Linked DNA regions of Saccharomyces cerevisiae S288C. The gene in region 1 interacts genetically with each later gene. Each region holds a gene or a part of one and is shown in the gene's direction. Other genes may lie near its edges.

Evidence for each region.
Region 2: of PCT1 (region 1) and SEI1, changing one suppresses a phenotype caused by changing the other (phenotypic suppression), as found in Saccharomyces cerevisiae (one study listed by BioGRID).
Region 3: of PCT1 (region 1) and PLB1, changing one enhances a phenotype caused by changing the other (phenotypic enhancement), as found in Saccharomyces cerevisiae (one study listed by BioGRID).

Annotation. Positions count from the first base shown.
Region 1 is NC_001139.9:902,901-906,443, reverse strand, and holds PCT1 (choline-phosphate cytidylyltransferase), read left to right. Parts: upstream 1-1,695; coding exon 1,696-2,970; downstream 2,971-3,543. Other genes in the region: trifunctional formate-tetrahydrofolate ligase/methenyltetrahydrofolate cyclohydrolase/methylenetetrahydrofolate dehydrogenase ADE3, read right to left, coding at 1-510; phosphatase YCH1, read right to left, coding at 761-1,207; YGR201C (uncharacterized protein), read left to right, coding at 3,247-3,543. UniProt on the Saccharomyces cerevisiae protein: Catalyzes the key rate-limiting step in the CDP-choline pathway for phosphatidylcholine biosynthesis.
Region 2 is NC_001144.5:926,614-930,129, forward strand, and holds SEI1 (seipin), read left to right. Parts: upstream 1-2,129; coding exon 2,130-2,987; downstream 2,988-3,516. Other genes in the region: zinc-coordinating transcription factor SFP1, read left to right, coding at 1-1,006; DUS4 (tRNA dihydrouridine synthase), read left to right, coding at 3,176-3,516. UniProt on the Saccharomyces cerevisiae protein: Involved in lipid metabolism and lipid droplet (LD) morphology, number, and size. Facilitates initiation of LD formation, and ensures that vectorial budding of LDs from the ER is directed towards the cytoplasm.
Region 3 is NC_001145.3:280,827-284,584, reverse strand, and holds the start of PLB1 (lysophospholipase), read left to right. Parts: upstream 1-2,000; coding exon 2,001-3,758. Other genes in the region: ADI1 (acireductone dioxygenase (Ni2+-requiring)), read right to left, coding at 1-483; YMR008C-A (uncharacterized protein), read left to right, coding at 1,037-1,504. UniProt on the Saccharomyces cerevisiae protein: Sequentially removes both fatty acyl groups from diacylglycerophospholipids and therefore has both phospholipase B and lysophospholipase activities. It also displays transacylase activity.

The DNA of each region.
Region 1 (3,543 bases):
TCTTCCGATCACAACGGACCGGGAACCTTCAATCGTGACGTTGGCCTTGTGAAGCAGCTCAATGATCCCCTTGGGCGTGCAGGGCAAAAAGAATGGGTGTCCGTTCTTCTTATTCAATTCGCCAATGTTGGTGGGCCCGAACCCGTCCACGTCCTTTTCTGCCAACACTCTCGAGGTGATTCTATCCTCGTCCAAATGAGCGGGTAATGGTAGTTGCACGATAATACCGTGTGTATGTGGGTCCTCATTCAGCTGGTCCACGTAACGCAGAACTTCAAATTCAGTAGCGGATTCATCTAAATGAATGAAATTAGCAACAATGCCGGCCTCTTCAGCTGCCTTACGCTTCATGCGTACATATGTGGCTGAGTCTGGTCTGTTGCCTACTTGAATGATGGCAAGGTTAGGTGCAAACCCAGGCACGTGACCTTGAATGCTTTTGATTTCATTAGCAATATTGCTTCTAAACTGCTGAGCGCATGCTTTGCCGTCCAACACTTGACCAGCCATGATTTCTTATTTGACTTGTAAAGTTGTGTTCGTCTCGTTACCTGGTCTCACAACTTCAATTGAATGGTATCGCTATCGTTGTATTGTAAACGAGTCTATATATAATAAAAAGTTACGGGTTATGGAGAGCGCGTATATAATGAATGAATGACTGACCATAGTACGAAAGCGATAAAGAGGAAAAAAGAACAAAATTGTCACTGGGAGGAGTCATGGCAAATATATGATCACGTGCGATTGTGTAAACCTGTCAACGCCACAGATCGGGTAGGTAACCCGCCGTAACGCTCTCGTCGTCACCGTATACGGATTGCCAGCGCGAGAACCCCCCACGCAACACCCATAGACGACAGCGAGAAAGTTCCGCCGTGTCAAGCGACCGAAGCAGCAGCATCGCTGCAGACGGTCCGCGCTGCTGCGATAACATACAATGGAAAATCACGTTCAGCGCTCCGCGGCCGTCCGCTTGCTTTTCCAACAATCTGTGCTTTAGCTCACGTAAGTACTCCGGATCCTGCTTAAGGCGCGAATAGGCGTAGTGCCATCCGTCCTTGATATGGCCCCCCATATAATCTGAGCCTCGCACATCCACTACCTGGAAAGGCTCCCTCAGCGTAGTAGTGTGTCCTTCTTGCATCCAACGATGCAATTCAGTCGGATCCAGGTATTTTACGTTTGTTATTGAGTACGAGTCCATATTTTTTTTGCAATTGACTTCTCTTTTGCTTCTATCTGGCTGCACAGCTATCTATACTGTGCTGAAAACTGTATGTGCGGAGGAAGTAGAAAGGCTAGCGACAGCCAGAAAGAAAAAAATGGAAAAAAGGAAAGGGAAGAACCCAATAAGCGAAATGTGCATTACCCGTATTTGTCGTTTGCATGTAGGAAGAAAAAAATGAGTCGAAGACCTACCGTTATATAGTCATTCTTTTTCTTACGTTTTTACGCTTCGTTTCTTAACGCTTTTTAATAAGTATGAAATATATATCTGGTATTGGTTTTAGTACAGTTACCATTGTTTGTTTCTCCTGTTTCTTTTATTTTTTCTGCCGTTCTTGTATTTTTTATACCCATTCCCCTTTCTTGCATACGCCAGTCACTTTTCTTTATTGTATTGTTTAACTTTCAAATTTCACTCTTGCTATTCTCTCTTGGTAGTACAAAGCACAGCAGACACAAAGAAAAATGGCAAACCCAACAACAGGGAAGTCCTCGATTAGGGCTAAGCTTTCTAACTCATCGCTATCAAACCTATTTAAAAAAAATAAAAATAAAAGACAGCGTGAGGAAACGGAAGAGCAGGACAATGAGGATAAGGATGAGAGTAAGAACCAGGATGAAAATAAGGACACACAGCTCACTCCCCGCAAGCGTCGCCGGTTGACGAAGGAGTTTGAAGAGAAGGAGGCTCGTTACACCAACGAGTTGCCCAAGGAACTGCGCAAGTATCGTCCTAAAGGTTTCAGATTCAATTTGCCTCCAACGGATAGACCCATCAGGATATATGCAGATGGTGTTTTTGATCTTTTCCATCTTGGCCACATGAAGCAACTGGAACAGTGTAAGAAGGCTTTCCCCAATGTAACACTGATAGTTGGTGTGCCTAGCGACAAAATCACTCACAAACTAAAAGGTTTGACTGTGCTGACCGATAAGCAGCGTTGTGAAACTTTAACGCACTGCAGATGGGTTGACGAAGTCGTGCCCAACGCTCCCTGGTGTGTCACCCCAGAATTTCTACTAGAACACAAGATTGACTACGTGGCACATGACGATATTCCTTACGTTAGCGCCGACAGCGACGATATCTACAAGCCAATAAAGGAGATGGGAAAATTCTTGACTACCCAAAGAACCAATGGTGTCTCTACAAGTGATATTATCACAAAGATCATCAGAGATTATGACAAATATTTGATGAGAAACTTTGCAAGGGGTGCTACCAGACAGGAGCTGAACGTTTCTTGGTTGAAGAAAAACGAACTGGAGTTCAAAAAACACATCAATGAATTCAGGTCATATTTCAAGAAAAACCAGACAAATTTGAATAACGCCTCCAGAGACTTGTACTTCGAAGTCCGTGAAATCTTGCTAAAGAAAACGTTGGGCAAAAAACTCTACTCCAAGTTAATAGGCAATGAATTAAAGAAACAAAATCAACGACAAAGAAAACAGAATTTTTTGGATGATCCGTTTACTAGGAAGCTAATCAGGGAGGCCTCTCCGGCTACAGAGTTTGCCAACGAATTTACGGGCGAAAACTCTACCGCTAAATCACCGGATGACAATGGAAATCTTTTCAGTCAGGAAGATGATGAAGACACAAATTCTAACAACACGAATACAAATTCAGATTCAGATTCAAACACTAACTCAACGCCTCCCAGTGAAGATGACGACGACAACGACAGGTTAACTTTGGAAAACCTAACACAGAAGAAGAAACAATCAGCGAACTGAGCCCCTCCTCCAATCTCTGTGCGTCTCTTTCTCTCTCCCTTCAACCAACCCTTTTTGTCGCCTCCACGTATAAACAAGCGTATGTACATATTTAAAGATATAATAAGATAAAAAGCTGTTTTTCCTGTAATGCAACCGTTTCCCACGTATTCATCCCTTTTAATAGCCGCACCTTTAAACGATACCACCCCTTATAAAAGCCTAGATGTAGCAGTGCGAAGCGAACTCGATACTTGCTCATCATTGATTTCGGCATCTTTGTGTAGAAAACTACAAATGTCTGACGGAACACTGTTTACTGATTTGAAGGAGAGAAAGTTGATTAGGACCATTGTGCCAAGAGGTTTAGTGCGTTCCTTGAAGCTGGACGTTAAGCTTGCTGATCCAAGTGACGCTCAGCAACTTTACGAAAGGGAGTTTCCCTTGCGTAAGTACCCAACTTTTGTTGGACCGCATGACGAGTGGACGCTTACAGAGGCAATGGCTATTGACTACTACTTGATCCATCTGTCGAGCGACAAGGAAGCTGTGCGCCAGTTGTTGGGTCCCGAAGGTGACTTCAAAACTCGTGCA
Region 2 (3,516 bases), on another chromosome or scaffold:
TGCGTCGTCCACAACTGCAAATCCAAATGTGATATCTATAACGGGTGCCCCCAACTCGGGCTTATCTATGGCTAATCACTCTCAACAACTACATCTGAATGGTAATCTAGTCGATGCCGTTTCAACGAATGATGTGTTTTTAAGAACGAGCAATTCTCCATCAAGACACGTTCCGCACAATAAACAAATTAACAGTAACAATAATAGTGGTATCAATATCAATAATAATACCTCACACAATTCTAATATTAACATGGGTAGTAAAAACGCCATGGTGAATCGTCCACATACTTTTAATAACTATTCCTTGAACAAAACGTCCAGGAATCCTATTCAACATCAATCAAGAAAAATTGATCCTCATCAAACCGATTTATCACCTCTGGTACTTGTCCAAGATATAGATTTAAGTTTTATGGATGATGATATTTTGGGCCCTAGTAACCACAATTCCATGAACTCTGTCGTAAATCCAACTACAGGTTCTCACAACTACAATACTTTTCATTCTTCCGTACACGCAAAATCTTCTCAAAACATGGTCGAGGATCAAGACATTGATGACATTGATGATGACGATGATGTTGATGATGACGATGACGATGACGATGACGATGACACAGAAAATGGCTCCAGTTCCAATGGAAAATCAGTTCATAACAACAATTACAAGATGCCTCAGCAAGCTTATATAGACGATCCTGCGAGAAGGCTCTATGTAATGGATCATGAGGAACAAAAACCCTTTAAGTGTCCAGTTATTGGTTGTGAAAAGACTTATAAAAACCAAAACGGTTTGAAGTACCATAGGTTGCACGGACATCAGAATCAAAAATTACATGAAAACCCTGACGGTACATTTAGCGTAATAGATCCAGATTCGACAGATTCTTTTGGTGATGGAATGGGCTCTGCAAAGGATAAACCATACCGTTGTGAAGTTTGTGGTAAGAGATATAAGAACTTGAACGGTTTAAAATATCACAGGGGCCACTCCACTCACTAAGATATAATTGTTTCTTTACTGAATTGATTTAGTATGCTATTTAGATACTAATTCTACCGTTACCGACTCATGCATCGAGCGGCCGCTCTTTCTCTTGTTGTTGGGCGCAATTTATGTGATCATCTTTGAACGAAAATGCATGATAAAGCTGTGCTCTTCGACTGTTACCATTAATTTCAAAAAATAAAAAGCATATCTATTATTGAAAAATGAACTTATAATAGAATAACATTTTCTTGTTTTGTCATCATTTCCTCTAAATACTCCGTCATGAAAACGATTTGCGCTCTGTCTGGTCTCTCCTTTTAGTATTATTGTTGTGTGTTTTTTACTATTCATTTTTTACTACTGTGTTTTTACTATATATATTTTGGCTTTACTTACTTCCTTCTGTTCTGATGTATTAAAAACTATTTTTATTCTAAGAAAAGAAACTTTAATTCTTCTTATTCATGCTCTAAATCTTAAATAAAAGGTTCCGTTTTTTATCTGCAATTCTGTGTATTTGTAAGTGAATTACCATGCACGTTGTCGGATCGTTTTTCTAGGCAGAAACTATCTTATTGAACCATTAAAAGATTACTTAAATATTACAATTAATCTTACGAAGCATATTAATTAGACTGGAATTACAGCGCAACTATCACAGGTTAATAATTGGTTGAGAAAATATTATAGTTTTGTTAGTAATGTTGAACTTTTATTTTATACACTTATGAAAGTAAATTAATTCAATATCAATAATAATATACTATAAGTAACTTAAAAAGCAACCTTCCTCCCAAACCTACAATCCAATCACGCTGATAAGTATTATCTAGAAAGTTGACAACACCAAGCCATATGGTCAAGAAACATTTATTGAGAGTTATTTTGTAAATAAGACTTTTCGTCATCCATATAAAGCAACCTAATTGTTCATCTAATACTAGAGTCGCTCTTTTGAAAGTTAAGTATAACTACCTCATCATTAGTTGCTACTATGTGTATAATTTGAAAATCTCAACGTAAGGTTATTAAAAATATAAATGCGCGTAAGACAGAAAAATAGAGACAGCTTACGGCAAATTATCAAAATGTGAATCCAAGGTTTCAAGAAAATAAGATAAAGTGAATAGGAAGGATGAAAATCAATGTATCCCGTCCATTACAGTTTTTACAATGGAGTTCATATATTGTTGTTGCATTTCTGATACAATTGCTAATCATTCTTCCTTTATCGATCTTAATATATCACGATTTTTACCTAAGACTATTACCTGCCGATTCCTCTAACGTAGTCCCCCTTAATACGTTCAACATTTTAAATGGCGTACAATTTGGTACAAAATTCTTCCAATCTATTAAAAGCATTCCGGTAGGTACAGATCTGCCGCAAACAATAGACAATGGCTTATCACAGTTAATCCCCATGCGTGACAACATGGAATACAAGCTCGATCTAAACCTACAGCTTTATTGCCAGAGCAAAACTGACCATTTAAATTTAGACAATTTGTTAATTGATGTTTACAGAGGTCCAGGCCCGCTATTGGGTGCTCCTGGAGGAAGTAACAGCAAAGATGAAAAAATCTTTCACACTTCTAGACCTATTGTCTGCCTCGCACTGACGGATTCCATGTCGCCTCAGGAGATCGAACAACTAGGCCCATCACGTCTAGACGTTTACGATGAAGAATGGCTAAATACAATAAGAATAGAGGACAAAATATCGTTAGAGTCTTCATATGAAACAATCTCGGTGTTCTTGAAAACGGAGATTGCCCAAAGAAATCTAATAATACATCCAGAAAGTGGGATTAAGTTTAGGATGAATTTTGAGCAGGGATTAAGAAACTTGATGCTTCGAAAAAGATTTTTATCTTATATTATTGGCATTTCAATTTTCCATTGCATAATATGTGTACTTTTTTTTATCACAGGTTGCACTGCATTCATTTTTGTTAGAAAGGGTCAGGAAAAATCCAAGAAACATAGCTGATAGAATTGTACTTCTCGCTATATAATTTTAAAACCTAGCTGTTATTTTCTAAGTAAGTAGGCTCTTCCAGCATTCTGCTTCTTCGCCCTGAATAAAAAAAAGATGATCAGCGAAAAAACTCAAAATGAAAATAAGAGATGGATTCTTCAAAGTTATAATTCATATGCAGAATAAAGATTCTAAAGAAAATGCACACAATGCATATTCCATCCGGTGATGTTCTGATACCGAAGCCGAAGCTTATTACTGAAGAAACAGATCCACTGCATATAATAAAGACGAGGCAAAAGACACATGGTCGGCCCGTGACCATTGCAGGCCCAATGGTTCGGTATTCCAAGTTACCATTCCGTCAGTTGTGCCGAGAATATAACGTTGATATAGTTTACTCCCCCATGATTTTGGCAAGAGAATATGTCCGTAATGAGCATGCAAGAATCTCAGACCTTTCTACAAATAATGAGGACACCCCGCTAATCGTCCAAGTAGGTGTAAATAACGTGGCTGATTTACTAAAATTTGTGGAAAT
Region 3 (3,758 bases), on another chromosome or scaffold:
ATTTGACCTGTTGATAGCTTGCCATTTGGGCTCGTCCTTAAACAGTCTCAAGGCCTTGATGTGGTTGCTAGTTGTCAAGGTGAAACGATGATAGATGCCTGGTGGAAGAATCAGTAAATCACCTGACTCTACCAAACACCTAATCCAGTTCTCTGGTGTGGAAGCATCCCTGACGTCAAAGTATCCAGCACCCTCGAGACAGTATCTTATTTCTTCGTCTTCATGTAAATGCTCTTGGTAGAATGTTGCTAGTTTTTCATTAAACTCTGCTTCACTTTTGAAGGAACCTTCGCAGATGTTGACCACATCTCTATTTTTATATTCTCTTTGCCTAGCAATTTCATTCACTTCTTCCTCATTTGCACAGTATTTATAAATCACTCCTAACTTGGCTAATTCATCCAGGGAAAGTTCTGTTCCAGAATTGTGGGGTGCGCGATAATCGGAGTCAACCTTGTTGTCATGAATATATACCTTAACCATTCTAACTTTTGACCTTTTTACGACCTTTTTTAGTGTCTTGTTTGGTGGTTATTGTTTTTTTTGATCTGCAGATGCCACCCTCTTTGTTCTTTTATACTTTGATGTTTTTCAATATGCATATTTCGGTGTTAGCGACTCTACTGTGGCGTCGCCCTGTCGAGCGGCTCTTACAAGGGCCCTTTCAGTCGTCAATGCAAAGAAAACTGGCAGAAATTACCTTCATTGCGCCGTTATGCTATCTTGCCTCTCTCCTGTTATTTAGAAGGCATCTCACTATCTAGACAGACAATACGACTTGCGCACATGTGAATCATTAACAAGATCGTGATTATCGCTACTTCTGCATAGTTTATAGGGAGAAAAAGAGAAGGAAAAAATTGTGTCAAAAACGGGCCAGAATATAAAAAAAAAATATTAATTGAAGAGTAATATGGACTATCGTAAAATACTTGTACTGAACGAGCAGTTAGTCTTGATCTAGAAGAGATGAAAATACCGGTGGGCGGTCGTTCAATCTTCAGCAATTGCAATTTTTTTTACGCATGCAAGATATATGTATGACTTACTCGAGCAAAAATTTTTTGTGCGGGAAATCAAATTCGCTTCAGCCTATTATTTACGCACCGGCAAAGCCCTGAACAATAGCAAGACTCCGATATTTCAGCGAAAGCATTCTTTGCCTGCGTGGCTTTCGTCCGCGGTTATTATTACTGCGCCTGTTAGCAACGACGGAAGTCACTCGATTCTATTTGCTCGTAAAACTCTAAGAATGATAATGCCTATGTTTAGTCCGCTTTTCAACAGAAGTCCTGACGATTGCCCTTCTCATCTGACCGCTACCCATATCTTTCAGCAATTCAGCGCTATGCTGGATTACGGACAGAGTACAAAGGAAGCCACTAACAAGCGCAGGTTAATAAAGGGTTCTGACCTACTTGTTGCCTTGGATCGGAATTGTATTCCTTCAGCCCCCTTTGTCCCCGAAATTGCCCTGCGTAAAAGCGGCGCAGTGGGGTCCTAACGTTTATTCCTTCCAAAGCTTTCTCATGCCACATAGTGCTAAAATAAGTGGACGCATGGGTTTCCTGCACGGACTTCTTCAAAGCGACCTAAAAAGTCCGTTTCTAACTTCGCCTTTCCTCATTATATGCGGTTTACGCCCTTATCTATAAAGGGAAATAACCTCATACAGTAACATGTCCGCTTATTCCCGCATATTTTTCTCAGTTAAGCAACATTCATTTACGTCTCCTATTTTTGCTTAGAAGATGACTTGGTTACTTTATTTTCTTCTAACTGCTTAGGTAAACTACATCATCTAATATATAAAGACGCTTCCACCACATTTAACCAACGGAAACGTCTCTTCGCTGTAAGGTTCTACATTTATTAGGTTATACTAACTAATCAATTCTTCGTTCTTTTCTTAACATTTCTCTCTTTTTTCGTTCATATAACGTAAATTACACGAAGCTATCCATCCTAAGGGCAAACGGGAAAGAAAATAAAACAAAACCATGAAGTTGCAGAGTTTGTTGGTTTCTGCTGCAGTTTTGACTTCTCTAACAGAGAACGTTAACGCTTGGTCACCAAATAACAGTTACGTCCCTGCGAACGTAACCTGTGATGATGATATTAACTTAGTCAGAGAAGCATCTGGTTTGTCAGATAACGAAACAGAATGGCTGAAAAAAAGAGATGCATACACCAAGGAGGCTTTGCATTCTTTTTTGAATAGGGCCACTTCGAATTTCAGTGACACTTCCTTGCTATCCACTCTTTTTGGTAGCAACTCTTCCAATATGCCTAAGATTGCCGTCGCCTGTTCTGGTGGTGGTTACCGTGCCATGTTGTCTGGTGCTGGTATGCTTGCTGCTATGGACAATCGTACTGATGGCGCAAATGAGCATGGTCTTGGTGGGCTGCTGCAAGGTGCAACTTACTTGGCAGGTCTGTCGGGTGGTAACTGGTTAACAAGTACTTTGGCTTGGAACAACTGGACGTCTGTGCAAGCTATCGTGGATAATACAACAGAATCTAACTCAATTTGGGACATCTCTCATTCAATTCTTACCCCAGACGGCATTAACATCTTTAAGACTGGGAGTAGATGGGACGACATATCAGATGACGTTCAGGATAAAAAAGACGCCGGTTTCAACATCTCTTTGGCGGATGTTTGGGGCCGTGCTCTTGCGTACAATTTTTGGCCAAGCTTACACCGTGGTGGTGTAGGGTACACATGGTCAACTTTAAGGGAAGCTGATGTCTTCAAGAATGGAGAAATGCCCTTCCCTATCACTGTTGCAGACGGTAGATACCCAGGTACCACCGTGATAAACTTGAATGCCACTCTTTTCGAATTTAATCCCTTTGAAATGGGTTCATGGGACCCCACTTTGAACGCATTTACGGATGTGAAGTATTTAGGTACCAACGTTACAAACGGTAAACCAGTTAATAAAGGCCAATGCATTGCCGGGTTTGATAACACTGGTTTCATAACAGCCACTTCATCTACGTTGTTTAACCAATTTTTACTAAGATTGAATTCTACCGATTTACCTTCATTTATTGCTAACTTAGCCACCGATTTCCTGGAAGATTTATCCGACAATAGTGACGATATTGCAATTTACGCCCCAAATCCATTCAAGGAAGCTAATTTTCTTCAAAAGAACGCAACCTCCAGTATTATCGAATCAGAATATCTATTTTTGGTTGATGGTGGTGAAGATAACCAAAATATTCCTTTAGTTCCATTGTTGCAAAAGGAACGTGAACTAGATGTTATTTTTGCATTAGACAATTCTGCTGATACTGACGACTATTGGCCAGATGGTGCTTCATTAGTTAACACTTATCAGCGTCAATTTGGCAGCCAAGGTCTCAATTTGTCTTTCCCATATGTTCCAGATGTGAACACATTTGTCAACTTGGGGTTGAACAAAAAGCCAACCTTTTTTGGTTGTGATGCAAGAAATTTGACAGACTTGGAGTACATTCCACCATTAATTGTTTACATTCCAAATTCAAGACATTCATTTAATGGTAACCAAAGTACTTTTAAGATGTCATACTCCGATTCAGAACGTCTTGGTATGATTAAGAATGGGTTTGAAGCTGCCACAATGGGTAATTTTACTGATGATTCTGATTTCTTGGGCTGTGTTGGTTGCGCCATTATCAGACGTAAGCAACAAAACTTGAATGCTACATTGCCCTCTGAATGCAGCCAGTGTTTTACCAACTACTGCTGGAACGGTACTATTGAC